Caenorhabditis elegans: one gene and its partners. The protein of the gene in region 2 purifies or fractionates together with the protein of the main gene of each other region. This does not show direct contact. Each region holds a gene or a part of one and is shown on either strand. Other genes may lie near its edges.

What was found. Proteins that work in one complex are often made in the same cells at the same time.
Region 1: the proteins of clec-63 (region 2) and F07A11.5 fractionate together in Caenorhabditis elegans (co-fractionation; one large-scale study listed by BioGRID). This does not show direct contact.
Region 3: the proteins of clec-63 (region 2) and prdx-6 fractionate together in Caenorhabditis elegans (co-fractionation; one large-scale study listed by BioGRID). This does not show direct contact.

What each region holds. Positions count from the first base shown.
Region 1 is NC_003280.10:11,609,811-11,615,710, forward strand, and holds F07A11.5 (Ribokinase), read left to right. Parts: upstream 1-2,489; 5' UTR 2,490-2,526; coding exon 2,527-2,585; intron 2,586-2,649; coding exon 2,650-2,909; intron 2,910-3,518; coding exon 3,519-3,775; intron 3,776-3,860; coding exon 3,861-3,972; intron 3,973-4,028; coding exon 4,029-4,105; intron 4,106-4,339; coding exon 4,340-4,519; 3' UTR 4,520-4,581; downstream 4,582-5,900. Other genes in the region: F07A11.4 (ubiquitinyl hydrolase 1), read left to right, coding at 1-122, 286-407, 453-679, 1,448-1,496; din-1 (Daf-12-interacting protein 1), read right to left, coding at 5,432-5,536.
Region 2 is NC_003280.10:12,893,015-12,898,896, forward strand, and holds clec-63 (C-type LECtin), read left to right. Parts: upstream 1-2,623; 5' UTR 2,624-2,625; coding exon 2,626-3,173; intron 3,174-3,505; coding exon 3,506-3,702; intron 3,703-3,750; coding exon 3,751-4,061; intron 4,062-4,193; coding exon 4,194-4,373; 3' UTR 4,374-4,432; downstream 4,433-5,882. Other genes in the region: clec-62 (VWFA domain-containing protein), read right to left, coding at 138-323, 370-482, 540-737, 797-1,092, 1,140-1,243, 1,771-1,884, 1,926-2,084; clec-64 (VWFA domain-containing protein), read left to right, coding at 5,276-5,742.
Region 3 is NC_003282.8:216,150-222,172, reverse strand, and holds prdx-6 (Thioredoxin domain-containing protein), read right to left. Parts: upstream 3,622-6,023; 5' UTR 3,607-3,621; coding exon 3,521-3,606; intron 2,712-3,520; coding exon 2,331-2,711; intron 1,633-2,330; coding exon 1,404-1,632; 3' UTR 1,320-1,403; downstream 1-1,319. Other genes in the region: Y38C1AA.1 (Phospholipid/glycerol acyltransferase domain-containing protein), read right to left, coding at 5,171-5,302.

The sequences.
Region 1 (5,900 bases), 1.3 Mb from region 2:
GAAACCAGAAGAGAGTTGGTATTGCTCGACGTGCAAAGAGAATGTGGAGGCTACCAAGAAGCTTCAGTTGTATAGGTTGCCGCCTGTTCTGATCATTCAGTTGAAGAGATTCGTCTATACAGGTGAGATAATTCTGGAAACTTACTTATAAGAAGGGATTACTCCGTATGAACCTACCTGATTAAAAAAATAGGTGTAGGTAATTTTTGTAGGCATGCAGGCAGGTAAGCATAAGTTTCAAAAAATCTCTCGATTTTTCAAAAAATCTATTGTATGGACTTTCAGCATTCACTTATCAATCATCAATGGCTCGTCGAAGCAAGGACACCCGATCAGTTGAGTATCCATTGGAGAGTCTTGATATGTCTCCGTTTTTAGCAGAAACATCTCCACATCCTAATTCAACGGTAACTATTCACAGTAATTATTTTCAAAAAATATTGAAATTTCAGATGTATGATCTAACGGGAGTAGTATGCCATAGTGGAAACAGTTACTTCGGTCATTATATTAGTATGGGTCGACTCGCCGATTTTGATTCGTCGAAAACGAAAATCGAATGGAGGAATTTCGATGATTCGACGGTGGCTCGGCAGTCTACGAGCACTTTACAAACGGAGGATGCTTACTTACTCTTCTATAAAATGAGAGATCAGAATGTGACGAGGAGTATATTCAAGTGAGTTGGAAACCCCAAGAACTATAAATCTGGGAAAGAATTTCCTGAAATTCAAGAAAATCGATAAATCCTGAGAACGGCTTTTTTTGAGACGAAGACGTTCAAATAATTGAGATAGTTTCCAGCACGGTATTGATAGTATGATAGTTGATTAGAAAGCACTATTGTAATAAGCAAATTGATAATTGAATTTGTAAGCATTGGATAAAAGTGAGAACTGATTGATTCAGCTTCAGATTTGGACAATTTATATATTCCAAATCTAAATAATAAGTTCCACGACCGAGGTCACGCAAATTGAAAATTTTTTTCTTAAATTTTTCTTTAAAAAATTAAATAAAAATTTTGGATTTCAATAATAAGAAACCGTGATTTGCTTGTTTTTTCAAAACTTTTAGGCAAAGATTTCATAAATCGCCAAAAAATTGTGAATTTCTGTGGTTATTTAAGATATCCTGCAGGTTCGAGCTCCTAGAATTTGAAAAAAACAATTAGTACGAAATTAGTAAAAAAAAACCAGGATAACATATTTTGACCGACTTACAAGGTAATGCTTGAAAACTGAATGTTCAGAACTTTTTCACTGGAATAAAAATTTCAAAAAAGGTTTTGAAAGTTTTTCCATAATATTTTTTATTTTGGAACTAGTTGTTCATTTTCAAACTGATGAGTTTTTTTTTTTTTTTAATGATTTAATTTTTAATGATCACCGCGCTGGGTTTTTATCAAAGTAACCTATTCCGATCAATGAACAATTTTTTATTTCAGACGCCACTACTCGTGTGATCCTGGAGCTCCAGAAGAAGTCAAAATTTAGTCATTTTTCTAGATTTTCATAAATTCATCAATTTTTTTTTCCACGTGTTGTTCATTGTCTTCATTTCTTTCAAAACCTGTTACCATGTTTTTAGATATTACATCTTTGATTTAATATTTATATATTTTTCATTAATTTTCCTAATTTTATTGATTATTAAAATAACAATTGTTTGAATCCACGGAGACCGGTTTCAGTTTTTTTTTTGTTCCCCGAAGAGAATAAATTAATTTCAAAATTAAAATTCTGTCCTTGACTGCAAAGGAAAAAAAGAAAAAAGAAATCAAGATAAGCCGATGAAAATTGATAAGAAGGGGAAAAGATAAGATACGAGTTCCAAATATTATCTGTTTTTAGTTCAATGCATTTTGAGGCCATTCACGTGCCATTTTGCAGGCCTACGTGCCTGCCTATCGCCTGATTTCTGAATTTTGGCCCGTGATATATGACGCCATTGTTTTGTTTTTTTTTCACATAAAATCACTGTCAGTGAAAATTTTTAAAGATCAAAAAAATAACCAAAACAATTAATTTTTGATCACAATTTTATCTGACCTGAATGGTTTAAAATGGGAACATTATCTGTTTGGGAACCTTCAAAAAAAATTTTTTTGCTTTTTTTAAAATTTGCTTTTGGTTTTTGAAAGCTTTTTCTAGGAATTATAGGGTCTGTCATCATTGTAGGTTCTTCATGCGAACGGGCCTACGTGCCTGCCTACAAATTATTTGCTTCGCTTTCAAGAGGACTAACATGTTTCCTTTCAGTAGAGTGTAGGCATGAGGCAGGCAGGCATTTTTAGCCACCTAAAAAATTTCTGGAAAATAATACTACGTGTGTCTTATTCTCTTACCATAACTGACCAGCTGCCAAATTTGTTGGCAAACAGTTTTTGCCCTCAACAAGCTAACCACCTGATTCTCTTTCTCTCTTCTCTTTTTTGTGTTTCTTTGATTATTTGACACGTGCTATCAATCGCATTTTTATTTTTTTATTTCAGAATTTTCTAAATTAAAAAAAAAGCATATCGTTATGTCAAGTGAAAACCAGAAAATCGTGGTTTTCGGAAGTATCGTTCAGGATCTTGTCAGGTCTGTTTTTTTTAAATTTTATCTTTCATTAAACAATTTTACATTATAAACTACCAATTTCCAGCTACACAGATAGTTTCCCAAGACCTGGAGAGTCGGTGCGCGGTCACAATTTCAAGCTGGGCTCCGGCGGAAAAGGCGCCAATCAGGCAGTTGCTGCGGCTCGCCTAGGGATCAATGTCTCAATGATTGGAATGGTTGGAGAAGATATGTTCGGAGATTCTAATATTAAGGATTTGAGCAGCAATGGAGTTGATACAAGTTGTGTGGGACGGACCAAAAAGACACATACCGCCACAGCGACTATCACTGTTAACAAAGAAGGTTTGTATCCGAGTTTTGGCGGGAAAAAAATATTTAAGATTATGTGTGGCCTCTTGAATGTCTTGAAGAAACATTCAATATTTGTAGCAAGACCCTACCTCTAAGAAAAAATTGCCAACCGGGTTAAGAATAAGTTCCTATAGCTATATCTGTTCTTATAGCTCGTAGATCACTGAAATTCTAATTTTGTTCTGAAAACGATTTGTCTACGTTCATAGAATCTATTTTCTCTTTCTTTTTCCCCCATTTTTTTGGTGACGTAATATAAATAACTTATTATTTCGAAGAACCTTCAGTGACGACGACAAACAAATAACTTTGAACTGGAACTAATAGTAAGAAGTGGGGGAGAGAGGGTAAGGAGAATTACAAATTTTTAGACTCAAAAAGTGAGCTCAAAATGTGATGCATCTAGTAGAAAATTGGAATTTGACATATGTAGAAAAAATATTTCAAATAGCATCTACAGACATGAAAAGTTCGATTTGTTACAGTGCAATTGAGGTGTAAAACTATTAAAATATGGTAAATTCGAAAAATTAAATTTTCTTGATTTTCAGATTTACATGAGACTTACATTATTTCAAATCCAAATTCCAAAATTTCCAGGCGAAAACAACATTGTGGTGACGCTGGGTGCAAATCTTGAAATGTCGCCTGAAATCGCTGATGCGAACTCTTCAAAAATTGCTGGCTCGAAAATGGTCATTTGTCAGGGAGAAATTGACGAAAAAGGAAATAGAAGAGCCTTCGAAATTGCTAGAAGTCACGGAGTCACCACTTTTTTAAATCCAGCTCCTGGGGATCCGAATATGGATAAGACGATTCTCGAGCTGGTTGATATTATTTGTACCAATGAGAATGAAGTAGGTCTATGTTATTTTTTCTAATCAATTGAACTTTTCCAAATATTGTTCTGAACAAAAAATAAATTAAATTTCAACTTTCCAGGCGGAATTCATCACTGGAATCGCTCAAAACAACGTGAAAGACGCTGAAAAAGCAGCACGTGCAATGCTCAAAATGGGACCTCAACATGCGATCATAACTCTCGGAGGCAAAGGTTGGGGGACTTACACTGGGATAATTTGAAACAATAAATTTTTTTTTGAATTGTAGGTGTCCTGCTTGCATCCAAAGGAGTCGATGATGTTGAGCATACCGCCGTGATCAAAGTCGATGCAGTTGATACTACGGTAATACTAAAAAATAAATTTTGTCCGAGCTTGGGTCCCACCACAATATATTTTTTGAAACGAAAGAAATTAGTTGCCTTTCTAGTTATTTTTAGTTAAAAATGTTGTGCATGGGCCTCTAAAAAACTACTTTATCAAAATCAAAATTTTTGGCGCAAGTTTTCTACAGTAACCTGGAGGAAATATGAACAAGATCAATCTGCATATAGGTATAATATTAATTGAAAATTCCAGGGAGCCGGTGACTGTTTCTGTGGTTCACTGGCTGCTCATTTGGTTGCCGGCCATCCGATTTCCGCATCAATACGCTCGGCTGCCAACTTGGCCGCACTTTCTGTGACACGTCATGGAACTCAATCGAGTTATTGGAAGCTCGACGAGATTCGCCAACAATACCCGGAATTCTTGCCTTAAAACTTATTACAGTGTCTTTCAAGAAATTTGTGATTAGGTCTGAAATAAAAATTCTGCTTTCCAAACACATTTTATACTTTCAATATGTTTTAATTAGCTGTTGAACATTGCAGGGAGCCTGAATTTTTTGAAAATTTGGAAATTTACCGTTTAATGTTAATGTTTGTTCCAAAATAACACAATTCTCCTATAATGAATTTCTTTCCCGTTTTGTTATTTTCCTTTTCAACAAATTTAAATGCTGAAAATTTAATTTCCAGAATCGCATAGTCATTGTGTATAAAGAAATTTGCGTAAATTCAATTATTTCATTGTTTTCGTTTTTCGAGCGAGTCGAGAGCTTCTCCGATAAAAATACAGACGAAAGACAAGAATGATGAATTAAATAATATAAGAATGACGACAAATTGGAAAATGTTTAAATAGTAGATGGGACGGGGGGGGGGGGGGAGGTCTTAAACTAACATTTTACGAAAACTGATCCGCTATTTTCATGAGAGACTTGAATTAGTGTCTAGTAGGGAGGAAAATTGAGAAAGCGGTGTGCCAAAAAGACAGAAATCCTTCCGGCGGAATGAAGAAAATGAGATATAAACCGGGGGAATAGTCCGTTAAAGTAGATAAATAAGGTTGGGTGGGGAATAAATATACAGTGGCGGGGGAAGAGATAAAACTTTAATGGTACCGAATTTGTCTTTTTGTTAAGTTAAAAAAATTAAAACCCATAATTCAAATTAAAACACAAGTCTGAGTCAATCGGGTAAAACATACATGTTATATGAATAGCGGAATAAATAAACGGGCGAGAGAAATAGATATATACTTTTTTTTGACAAGATTGCACATAGGTTGAGAATCGACAGTAGATTTTGGGTTGGTTGAATTTGGCAGAGGAAATAAGGCTCTTCCTGATTAGGTACTGCTTACTGGTGGAACGGCGAGTGATGCTACAGATGGTGGCCCAGTCATGTTCGGGTCAGCCTTGTCGTTGGTGAACACTATCAGCAGGTAGCGGGTCTGAAAATTGGAAAAATTAGGTAAGAATTAGGCAAAGTCAGGTAGAAATCTGGGTTATTCTTTGGAAATTTCTATACAAAAATAGACAAATATTTGTACTTTTTGAAAATAATTTTACTTTCAATTGAAAATTTCGTGAAGTTGCTTCAAAACCGCCTCAAAGTCGAAACTGAGCCCAGGAAATGTGTTGATTGGCTCATCGATATTTGAGGCTCTTTTGAGCAACTTTAAAAATATTTAATTATATAAGAAAAATTATACTCAAAAAGAAAAAATATTTCTCTATATTTCTATGTAAATTTTCTGAAAAACATTTCGACCCAACAAAGATAAAAATGGGATTTTGGAAATGCATCGCACAAAT
Region 2 (5,882 bases):
CGAAAAATGCAAAGGAGGAAGACCAGAGCCCCGTGAAAAAAAGTAAAAATATTTTGCTTTGAATTTCATTACAGTATACATTCAATTATAACCGATTTCAAATGGAATTATGTCTGTAACTTATGTAATTAATTCCATTATTCACAATATGTAGACGTATCACACGCGGCAACTTCACAAACATATCTCTCGGACACCGTATACTGGTTGACATTCTGCCATCCCACTCTGAAAGCACTGCTGGATTGCTGATTGAGGACGGCGGTGGTCGTAGATGATTGTGTAGGGAATCCTGGATTCCATAGGCTATCGTTAAGCTGGAACTGATACAGGGATAAGAACTTTGGCAGATTATGGGAAGGGACTTACCGGCACCAACGCGTGACCCACAGGTTGTTGCCACGCATATCCTCCATTCACATAGCTCAGTCCGATGTGATACACATAGGGCTCGGGGAATGAAGTGTCGTTGCGGACAAGTTATGAAAAAAAAACAATTGATGCACCTCGAACCTTTAAAAAAATCTAATTTAACTTACTGAAAACATAGTCATGCTTCTTCTGATCATACTCGGTGACCATGTACCCCGTCTGGATCATATTCTGACACGCAAACTTTGCTGGGGTCCAGCCAGCTGTCAGAGCCACCGGGCGCAGGCAAACTCCGAATTTTGAAGAATGAGGGTCCTCGAATGTTTCTCGGTATTGAGTCCAAAGGTTTGAGCAGTAGCAGTTGGCTGAAAAAATTAGCTAACGATAACTTTTGGAAAAAAACTTTTGGAATTTTCAGTCTTACTCTGAATCATTGCAGTTTGAATTTCCTTAACCAGATTTTCATCTTCATTCGTAAAATTGAAACCCGGCGTCGCAATTTCTCCAATCAGCTTGATCATCTCTTCATCTCCAGTCTGATCAAAAGCGACAGTTGCGATGCTAACACCAGACGCCTTAAGCCGTTCAGCGATAGGCCTAGGATCCTCTTCACCTTCATCATTATAAGCGGATGCATAGACAATCACCATTTGCTTGTAGTTTTTGCGAGTGTTGTTCTTGCGACCAGCGGCCAGGAGTTGCTCAGCTGCTCCGATTCCTCTGGAAATCATGGGACTTGGAATGGTTTAAAGGTATGAAAAACTCACTTCGCTAGGAAAACATCTTCTGAAGTGCTCAGGTCATTCGGAAGAATTTGAAATACCGTGCTGAAAAGATCATCTGGCGACTGGAAGCGATTTAGATCGGCTTGCTGAAAACACTTGGTTAAAACTTAAGTTAGGTTCTGTTATGATGCTACAGACTTGCTCCATTTAAGTCCGAGCTCACACTATTGCACGTGATGTCAGGCTGTCCCATCACGGGTTGATCTTCAAAAAATGCGGGATGTTTTCCCAGGAAAATGCGACGTCAGCAAGCTGTGAAATCAGTTCTAAAGTCTGCGTCTAAAGTCCCGCATTTATGGTAGATCAACCCGAAATGGTACACTCTGGCATCACGTGATGAGCGAGGAACGGTGCTCCATCGCACACCTCACGTGGTGTCAGAGTGTCTCATTTCGGCTCGATCTACATAGATCTACAAAAAAAGCGGGAGAAGAGACGCATAGTTTTCAACTGATATCGCATGGTTAAGAACTTGCTGACGTCACTTTTTTTGGGCAAAAAATTCCCGCATTTTTTGTAGATCAAAACGTAATGGGACAGCCTGACATCACGTGCTGGTATAGGCAGGCAAAGGCCCCCAAGCCCAGGTAACATTTGCGATTCCCGCTCTTACAATTGTTGCCTCAGTGTTGTAGGTAACCAATCCAACTCGGGTTGTCCTTTTATCGATATAATTCGTCCCAATCCTCGTGCCAGCGCCAAACACTGTCACAATTTGGGCAGCCACCTGATAACAATTTCGTAATTGATTTCAGAGAGAAAACAAACCTCTGTAAGCCCCTCTTGTGTCATCGGAGCCGAGTTGTCGACTACAACGACTACGTCCAACCAGAGATTCGCCAGGTCATGACCGCAGTTTCTATCCGTGGGAGGCACCTGGCCGTAGGTGACGGAGAGCAGAAAAAGTAGAAGAAGCCCAATAAGCATCTGAAGATGAACTTTACTTAATTGATGTCACAAACAAAAATCAATTAAAAAACTACTTTGAAAATGAATGACAAATTCAGTAATGATAAGAAGCCCGCAAACGTCATTTACTAACATAAGATTGTTATAATTAATCAAAAGGTGCTGGTGACATTTTGGTAGACGATAAGTTGCGCTAAAGGCCAAATCTAATTAAAGTTCAAGTTCAAATTATAAACAAACATTCTAAAAATTTTCAGTTAAGTCGATTAGTTGGGTGGGGTTGTTTAAACTTTTCAACACGAAATTTCAATTAACAACACCCATCAGTCCTTCCTGCTATCTTTAATTCTAAAAAATTTAATAGCCATCGGTTTTGAAATGTATGCTGCACCTCCTGGTGATAAGGTGTTATCAGTGATGGGGGAGCATACGAAAATTGTCTTAAAATACGCCCCCTCCCAAGCAGTTCTCATCATTTTCTCATCGTTAGTTGGCTTCTTTTCAAGTTTTTAAACAAATTCAATTTAATATTATTATTAGTATTATTATGTTTTCAGCCATGTTCAAACTGGTGAGCTTGGCACTGACCCTTGTGGCTCTTGCCTCCGCACAAGATAGCACTACATCATGGCAAACAGGAGCAACACAAGGACCAACACCATCAACACCACCACCAACTCCAGGGGGCTCAAATGTCGACCGTGAATGCGGTGGAGACTTGACCAACCTTTGGCTTGATGTTGTCGTCGTCGTCGACAACTCCAAGGGTATGACCAATGAAGGAATCACCGAAATCGCCGCCAACATCGTCACCGTCTTCGGAAACGGAACCAGAATCGGAAACCAGTACTCCGACCCAAGATCCACCAGACTCGGACTTGTCACCTATAACGGAAGATCCACTATCGTCGCTGACTTGAACCTCCTTCAATCGATCGACGACCTCTACCAATCGGTTTTCTCTACTCTCAACCAGGTCAGCAACTCCGACGACTCTTTCCTGGCTAAAGGAATCGGTGCCGCAGAGAATGTGCTCCAATCCGGAAGAACCAATGGAGTTCGATCGAACTACAAGAGACTCGTCGTTGTCTACGCTTCAGCTTACAAGTAAGAACTTACGTAGAATACTTTCTTTCTTGTCTGTTAAAATTCATCTATTTCGTCTTGAGAGGGTTTTGATGCGATTACTAGAACTTTGAACAAATACGCATGGTCGAATCGGATTATAAATTAACCTATGCTCTTACCTTACTAAGCTTAGGCTTACAGCTTAGGTTAAATTTAAGCTTACATCAATTCCAACCAAAACGTCGTACTTCTGTTGGATCCTTCAACTCTGCGGAAACTTCGGTAAAGGGAGCATTTAGGAATTTCTGAAGATCAGACAAAAATAGAGAGCACCCAAATATTTAAAGTAATTACACACTCCTACGTTTCAGGGGAGAAGGCGAGCTCGACCCCATTCCAGTCGCCGATCGTCTCAAGTCCTCCGGAGTCGTTGTCTCCACCGTTGCCTTCGACCAGGACGGAGATGAGGCTCTTCTCGCCGGACTCACCAACATCGCCTCGCCAAACTACGCTTTCACCTCCAAGGACTTGAACTTGGTTGGAGAACTTCAAGGAGCTGCTCTTCAAAGTAAGATCCTTAGTTGTTCTACCAATACATAAAATTTCAAAATTACAGCCAACTGCTTCTGCCCGAACTTGTGGACCCAATACAAGTCGAACTTCGACGACGAGAACTCTTACAAATACGGAGTGTGCATCCGCCCCGCCACCATCTCCTCATCCTGGACCGCTGCCAAGTTCGCGTGCCAGAACCTCGCCAAGAACGGATTCCTCGCCGCCGAGTACGACGGACAGAAGCACAACTTCCTCTTCAGAGTCGCCCAGAACAACACCGCCTTCCAAGCTCCATACATCTATCACATCGGATTGAGTTATGTGAACGGAGGATGGAATTGGCAGCAACCAGCTGGATACCCACTCAAGCCAGTAAGTTTTGCCGTTGTCACGTAATGATGTAAGATGATGATAGTCGTATTGAACCTTGAAAAAGATCAAATCACTAGAAGTGATAACGAAAAATTGAACATTGTTCGGATGATAAGCCTAATCAATTTTCAGATGAGCGGCTACTCCAAATGGAACCCATCCTATCCAAAGTCCTTCACCAGCAACATCGGAGTCGTTGAGCAGCAATTCAGCTCGGATCTCACTGTTGGATGGCAGAACATCAACGCATACAGTGTTGCTGAGTACTACATGTGCGAAGTCGCTTCCTGTGATACCGACAAGTATTGTTAATTTAGCTACACTAATTTTTTTTGTAAGGTTCCTGTTGCGGTATAAAGGCTTTAATGATGAATTTTTTTTTTAATTTGCTTTCACATTAAAATAATTTGTCGAATGGAAAAAATCAAGAAATATAATACTGTTTAAATAATTTCTGAAGTGTAGTAAAACTTATATTGTAGATTCATCCCCTCACAGTTGTGTTGTCCGCAAATCAAACTACAAAATACAAAGAAGACAGACTGAAAGTTGTGTTCAAGTTTCAATAGTTTACCGAACTAGGCCATTTTGGCTCGGACATATCTGGGGTAGATTTACGGCGCGTCGCGGCTCGGTTTTAGTTGTAAAGCTGAATGCATTTGTCCGTGTAGAGTACACGACTATCCCACCCGTTGTCCGGCTTGTCAATGGAGCGAGAAAAATGTAATGAGGAAGGCCAGAACCCCGTTAAAAAATCAACATTTTCTCAAAAATATAAATGTTAAAAGCTCTTAACCTTTCACTTTCACCTACCCAAAACTAAAATTAATTACAAATTCGATTGCATCGAAAATCACTAAATTTCGTTATCATTGAGCAAATAATGTGTGCACACCCGTGTGGAAATGCTAATCCCTCGAAAAAAAAAACTCATAAAAGATTATTTTCAGAATATCATCATTTCCTTACTTTTCCACATTCAAGTTTACTTTTTTCCATATTGTTCAGGCAGGTAGGCATGTTTTGGTTTCTCATGAAAAACAGGCACGCACACATGCCTATTTATCTGCCTGCATGCCTGCTTTTTGTCAATTTTCTGTTGTTTGGCGTTTTTTTGAAAATTGGTTTTCAAACTTACTGCAATTATTTTGAATGCATTTTTACAGTTTTTCGGTATATGAAGCTGAAGCTATGAAGCTCCAAAATTTCCAGCAATGTTACTAAACCTACTTGCCATTTTCACTGCTTTTGCAACAACCCAAGCTTCAACTGATCGCAACTGTGGAAGTAACTGGAATAACCTTTGGCTAGACATCGTTATAGTCGTGGATAACTCGAAAGGCATGACAAACGAAGGAATCACAGAAGTTGCAGCCAATATTGCGACCACATTTGCAAGTGGCCCAAGAATTGGAACGGACTATTCTGATCCAAGATCTACCAGGCTTAGCATACTCACTTATAATAGTGAGGCTACAGTTGTCGCTGACTTGAATCAGTTTCAGTCGGCCGATGACGTCTATCAGACGCTTTTCTCGTTTCTCAATGAGGTCAGTGACTCTGATGATTCGTTCCTGGCGAAAGGGCTTGGGATGGCTGAGAGTGTTCTTTACAATGGAAGGATGAATGGAGTTAGAGAGAATTATAATCGATTGGTTGTGGTTTATGCTTCAGCTTACAGGTAGAAGCTTAGATTTGTTTTTTGAAAGTTAAACTAAAATTAGTTTATATACAATTTCTTGCCAATATTTGGAAAAGAAAAACTCATAAACGTTTCAAACGGTATGTAGTTTGAATCAGGGTTTGCAGTTCGGCAAATCG
Region 3 (6,023 bases), on a different chromosome or scaffold from region 2:
TGTACTTTTTTTTTGGGCAAAAAAAATAATTTTTCTGAAAACGTTCGAAACTACGGGAAATTAGAAAAGGGCAGTTTTTTAGTGTTCTCAGATCAATTTTGAGCCCTCTAACTACAAAATTGCCTATTTTAGAGAAGTTTCAAAATTGTGCTTTTTTGTCATAAATTGTCATTTTTGCCACTTTTTAATAGTTTTTGATGGGTTAAACCTAGATTTTCTGAATTCTCCATATATGAATTACCCGTCTTCAACAAAATTAGACCACTTTTTATTTTTGCCCAAATTTTTTTCAGCCATCTAATGACTGTACTTTTTTTTTTTGGGCAAAAAAAATAATTTTTCTGAAAACGTTCGAAACTACGGGAAATTGGAAAAGGGCAGTTTTTTAGTGTTCTCAGATCAATTTTGAGCCCTCTAACTACAAAATTGCCTATTTTAGAGGAGTTTCAAAATTGTGCTTTTTTGTCATAAATTGTCATTTTTGCCACTTTTTAATAGTTTTTGATGGGTTAAACCTAGATTTTCTGAATTCTCCATATATGAATTACCCGTCTTCAACAAAATTAGACCACTTTTTATTTTTGCCCAAATTTTTTTCAGCCATCAGACTGTACTTTTTTTTTTGGGCAAAAAAAATAATTTTTCTGAAAACGTTCGAAACTACGGGAAATTGGAAAAGGGCAGTTTTTTAGTGTTCTCAGATCAATTTTGAGCCCTCTAACTACAAAATTGCCTATTTTAGAGGAGTTTCAAAATTGTGCTTTTTTGTCATAAATTGTCATTTTTGCCACTTTTTAATAGTTTTTGATGGGTTAAACCTAGATTTTCTGAATTCTCCATATATGAATTACCCGTCTTCAACAAAATTAGACCACTTTTTATTTTTGCCCAAATTTTTTTCAGCCATCTAATGACTGTACTTTTTTTTTGGGCAAAAAAAATAATTTTTCTGAAAACGTTCGAAACTACGGGAAATTGGAAAAAGAGAAAGTATGGTTACTGTAGAAGGGTACTGTACTTCTATGTACAGACAGAGGATTGTTGTACTTTTACTGTTAAGGAATTTACGTCAAAAAATGATTTTGTTCCAGAAGATCTCAACTCGGACGTAATGTTCTCATCCATATCAACACATTTTCTGAAATTCACATCTTCGACGAGAAGGAAGAAACACAAAATGGAAACAGCTGGAGTTTGAAAATTACAGTTCGGATTAAATTGTGAAAAACCATTTTTGCATTTTTGTAAAACTGTTAACTATAAAATTCCCGAAATTCCAGAGCCTCACTCAAAATCGAGTTGCTTTTTCAGAAATAAAACAACATAATTGATTTATAAAATTGGAAAAATTCAACATTAAAACCAGGCAACCAACAAAAAGTAACACATATTTAAATAAAATATCAATTCTGCAAGTAAGCGTCTCCCTCGATGACACGTAGATAACTCTTTCCACTCGGCAACGGAACCGTCTTGCATTTGTCTGGATCTCCACCACAAAGCTCCTGAATAACTCTCTCTTGACTCAGAGATGGTTGAGCGATGACATTGTCACCGGCAATCCAGTTAGCCGGAGTTGCCACTGGAGCCTTTGTGCCGAGTTGAACACCGTCGACCATGCGGAGAATTTCGCTGGAAATTATGGGGAATTTTAGGCGCCAAGGCTAATGACTGGAAAATTGATAATTCTAAATATTTTTTCTAGTTTTTCAGTCTAAAAATATGTAATTCGACTTTGTTCGTGAATTCATTTATTGAATTTTCTAGTTTCACGTGGTGTCAGGCTGTCCCATTACCACTGGGTTCTGGCCTTTCTCATTGAATTTTCGCGCTCCGTAAATCTACACAAAATCTCTCCGACCCAAAATGGCCTAGTTCGGCCAACTCTGCCATTTCGATTTATAAGGGAAGCCAGAAATCCGTGCATCACGGTTTGATCTACAAAAAATGCCGGAATTTTTTGCCCAAAAAAAAGTGACGTCAGCACGTTCTTAATCATACGAAATCAGTTAAAAACTCTGCGTCTCTTCTCCCGCATTTTTTGTAGATCAACGTAGATCAATCCAAAATGAGATACTCTGACACCACGTGTAGTTTGGCAAACAGTTTTAAAAAAAACGGAGTCATTCGAAAATTGTGGAAAATTTAGCTTTTTCAATTTTTTTGTTTCAGGAGGCTTGCAAAAATCTACTTGCAAAAAAAGCAAAAATAGTTTTTTTTAGAATTCAAATTTCAACAAAAATCTATTGATTATTCGAATTCTGTGAATTTTTGAGATCCAGAAATGTCTGAAAACTTGAATTCTCTCCCCTCGAAATCTTCTCACTCACACAAAATTTCTGCCGAACGTAGCCGGATAGAGAATCTTCGATTTGAGCTTCTTATCAGGTCCAAAAAGCATCACAGCACGAGCCGAAAGACAGATTCCCTCCGAATTCATCTCATCCGGATCAATCATTCCGAGTTCTGTACAAATCGATCGATCCGTGTCGGCGATGATTTCAAATGGCAAATGGCTTCCGCAATTGCTCAATTGTGCCACCGAATTAATGTCTTTTGCCCAATCACGATGAGTTTCTGATGAATCGATACTGATCGCAAGGATCTGAACATGGCGTTTGCGGAATTCGGGAGCCAATTTGACGAGCTCGGCGAGTTCTGTAGTGCAGACGGGCGTAAAGTCGGCCGGGTGACTGAACAGCATCAGCCATCTGAAAATTGGATCGTTTTGGATTGGAATTTATTTTTTTAATAAAAGAATTTTAAAGTGAAAAAGTAGATTTTTGCAAAAAAAAATTATAAAAATTCTGAAATACTTTTTAAATGTGTTTTTTCAACTTTTTGCGAAAATTATTCAGGACTTTTTTAAAATATTTAAATTCACCTGAAAATGTAACTTTTGAAAAAAAAAATTTCGAAATGTTTTTAACATTTTTTATATAGTAAATCGTTAATTTTTTAGAAAAAAAAAATCCATATTTTTTTGGAAAATAGATGTTATTAAAGGTGGAGTAGTCGAATTTTTATTTATTTCTTTACTAGACTCAAAATTGTCTGAAAACGCCAAATTTCAACATGAAACTTCTTGAAAACTTCTCAAAAAAAAGTTATGACGGCTTAAAAACTAGCCTAAAATTAGTTAAAATCGAAAATTTGACCGACTTGTCAATGTCGAAGCGGCTGGAACCAATTTTTTTTGAAATCATCGTCAAATTTTGAGTAAAGGCGACATTGAAAAGTAGGTCAAATTTCTAATTTTAACTAATTTTAGGCCATTTTTGAGCCGTCTTAATTTTTTTTTTGAGAAATTTTCATGAAATTTCATAACGAAATTCCTTGTTTTCAGACAATTTTGAGTCTAATAAAGCAATTTAAAAAAATCCGGCTACACCACCTTTAACTCAATTTTTCATTTTTTTTCAAAATTTCCAAAAAAATTTGTTTTTTCAAAATCCTTTCAAATTAACTCAAACTATCCAATAAAGTACAACCAAATTAACAATTTTTTCTCCAAACTCACTGTTCTCCAATGTAGTTGTGCAAAGTTTGATTTTTGCGAAGATCCGTTTCGAATGTAAAATTTGGAACGGTGTCTCCGAGCTTCATCTCTTGAGTTTTAATCTGAAATTTATTATAATTTTCAGTTTTTTGAATGTTTCAATAAAAAAGTAAAAAATAGTTTCTTAAGAAGATAATATGATTTGGCTCAGCAAAGAAAAAACAAAAAAAAATTTCCAATCACAACAAAATTCAATTTATTTCGTTATTTCAGGGAAATGTTGACATGATTGTGTAGGTGATCGTGATCTACCGTACCAGTAGACACCTTCGTGTTGCTCGAAAAAATGTGAAAATTCGAGAAAACAACTCAAAAATAGCCAAGAAAAGGGCGGAGCGTAATCCAAATTAAAATCGCTAATAGGCTCCGCCCATATATTGGCTTTAAGCTTTTATAAATATCAAAAGCTTTCAAAATTTCAGAATTTTTTTAAAAGAATTTTTTTATTAATTCAGTAAAACTTAATTGAAACGTGCGTATTAAATCATTTATACATAAAAGCCATGAGATGGGCGGAGCTTATTTTGTGGTTTTTGTTCCCGGCGAATGTCATCTGTTTTATGTGTTAGACTTCACTTTCCAATCGGATATTTGGAGTGGTGTCGGACAATGAAATTATTTGTAATAAGCTCCACCCATTTCTTGGTTTTTTAAAATTCAATTTCTTAGATTTCAGCATTAAAATTGTTCTAAAACAAGAAAATTTAATTGGTTTTTTGTTTTGAAAATCTAAAGAGCTTTAGACCAAAAAGTTTGTTGAAGGAAACTTGAGAACCCGAACACAAAGTAAATAAAACAATTTTATTTCACTTTTTTCAGCCTCAAATTATTTGGAATAGGCTCCGCCCATTTCTTGGTTCTTTCAAAAATTCCATTCAATAGATCCCAGCAAAAATTAAAAACAAAAACAAATAATTTCCAGAAAAAAGTTAAGAAAAATTTAGATAGCTAATTTTTTTTCGTTGTTTTTAAACAATTAAAAAAAAAATTTCCAGAAAAAAGTTTTTCCAACGTTTTTTTTAGGAATTTGATTTTTTTTTTTAATTTTTGATTTTTCGCTTTAAAAAGTAATTACAAAAAAACTTTTTTTAAAAAACTGAAAAGGTTCTAAGCTTAGATAAAACTAGCAAATTATTTGAAAAAAGGAAAAAAATCAAAATATAAAATCATTGGTAGAGTAAACAAAGGAAAAAAAGCAAAAAAAAAACGTTAAAAATAATAGAAATTTGATTTATTATTATGACGGGGGGAAAAGTACACATTTATCACAGTTAAGACGGGTTTTTTGTAAAATAAAGTAATTTCTACGAAAAAAAGGGGTATAATTTGTAAATTATTGATTAGATCAAGGACAGGGATGCAAATTTTGAAAAAAAAATCATTAAAAATTACTGAAAAATCCCACAGAAAATGCTCAAAAACTACTAGAAATTTCGATTTCTCGAGAATTTTTTTTTTTGAATATTGTAGCAATTTCCGCTGGATATTTTCAATGAGAACCTCCCAAAAAAAGAGATTAAAAGCTGCAAAATTGAAAATTACACAGAAATTTAGATGCACAGAGAGATCCAAAAAGAACACAAAAATACAGTATTCAGATTTAAAAAAAATTTAGATTCCACCGAGCTCATCAACTTCATCATCATCATCTTCAACTCCGGATCGATCCCGTCGGAGCACCACGATATCTTCTGAGTCTGACGTTGGACTCGTCGTTCCTGCTCCGTTTCGTTGTAGGAGTTCCTGAAAAGATTAAGAATTAAAAATTGTTTTGGAGAATGGAAAATTTTCTTTAATTTCCATATATTCAAGAAAATTTGCAGGAATTTTTGGAAAATGTCATAGTTACTGAACCGTTTCTTTTTTATGATTTTAATTTTTAACAAAAATTCGTCAAAATAATAAATAAAACATAACAATTCATAATTTTCAGCCGCACCAAAAAAGTATTATGGTAATGAGAATCATTAGATTTTTTCAGGAAAAGAGTTCCCAAAAAGACTAAGAATAAGAATTTGGAAAAAAAACTTTTGAGGAAACAAATAAAATTGAATTTCTTATCAATTTTTTGATTTTTTCTCAAATTTTTGTAATGTTTCCTTAATAAAAGAAAAATAGTTGAGCTTCTCCAGTGAGCTGACAGTGCTACGTGGCCGTGGAAAAACTGATGGCCGAATTTTGTCTGTTTGCGGTTCCAAATTTCTGTTAAAAATAGAAAAAAAAACGGCTCCGAAGAATTTTTGGTTGAGGCTGAGGATTTTTGGTTGAAGCTGAGAATTTTTGGTTGAGGCTCAGAATTTTTGGTTGAGGCTGAGAATTTTTGGTTGAGGCTGAGAATTTTTGGTTGAGGCTGAGAATTTTTGGTTGAGGCTGAGAATTTTTGGTTGAGGCTGAGAATTTTTGGTTGAGGCTGAGAATTTTTGGTTGAGGCTGAGGATTTTTGGTTGAAGCTGAGAATTTTTGG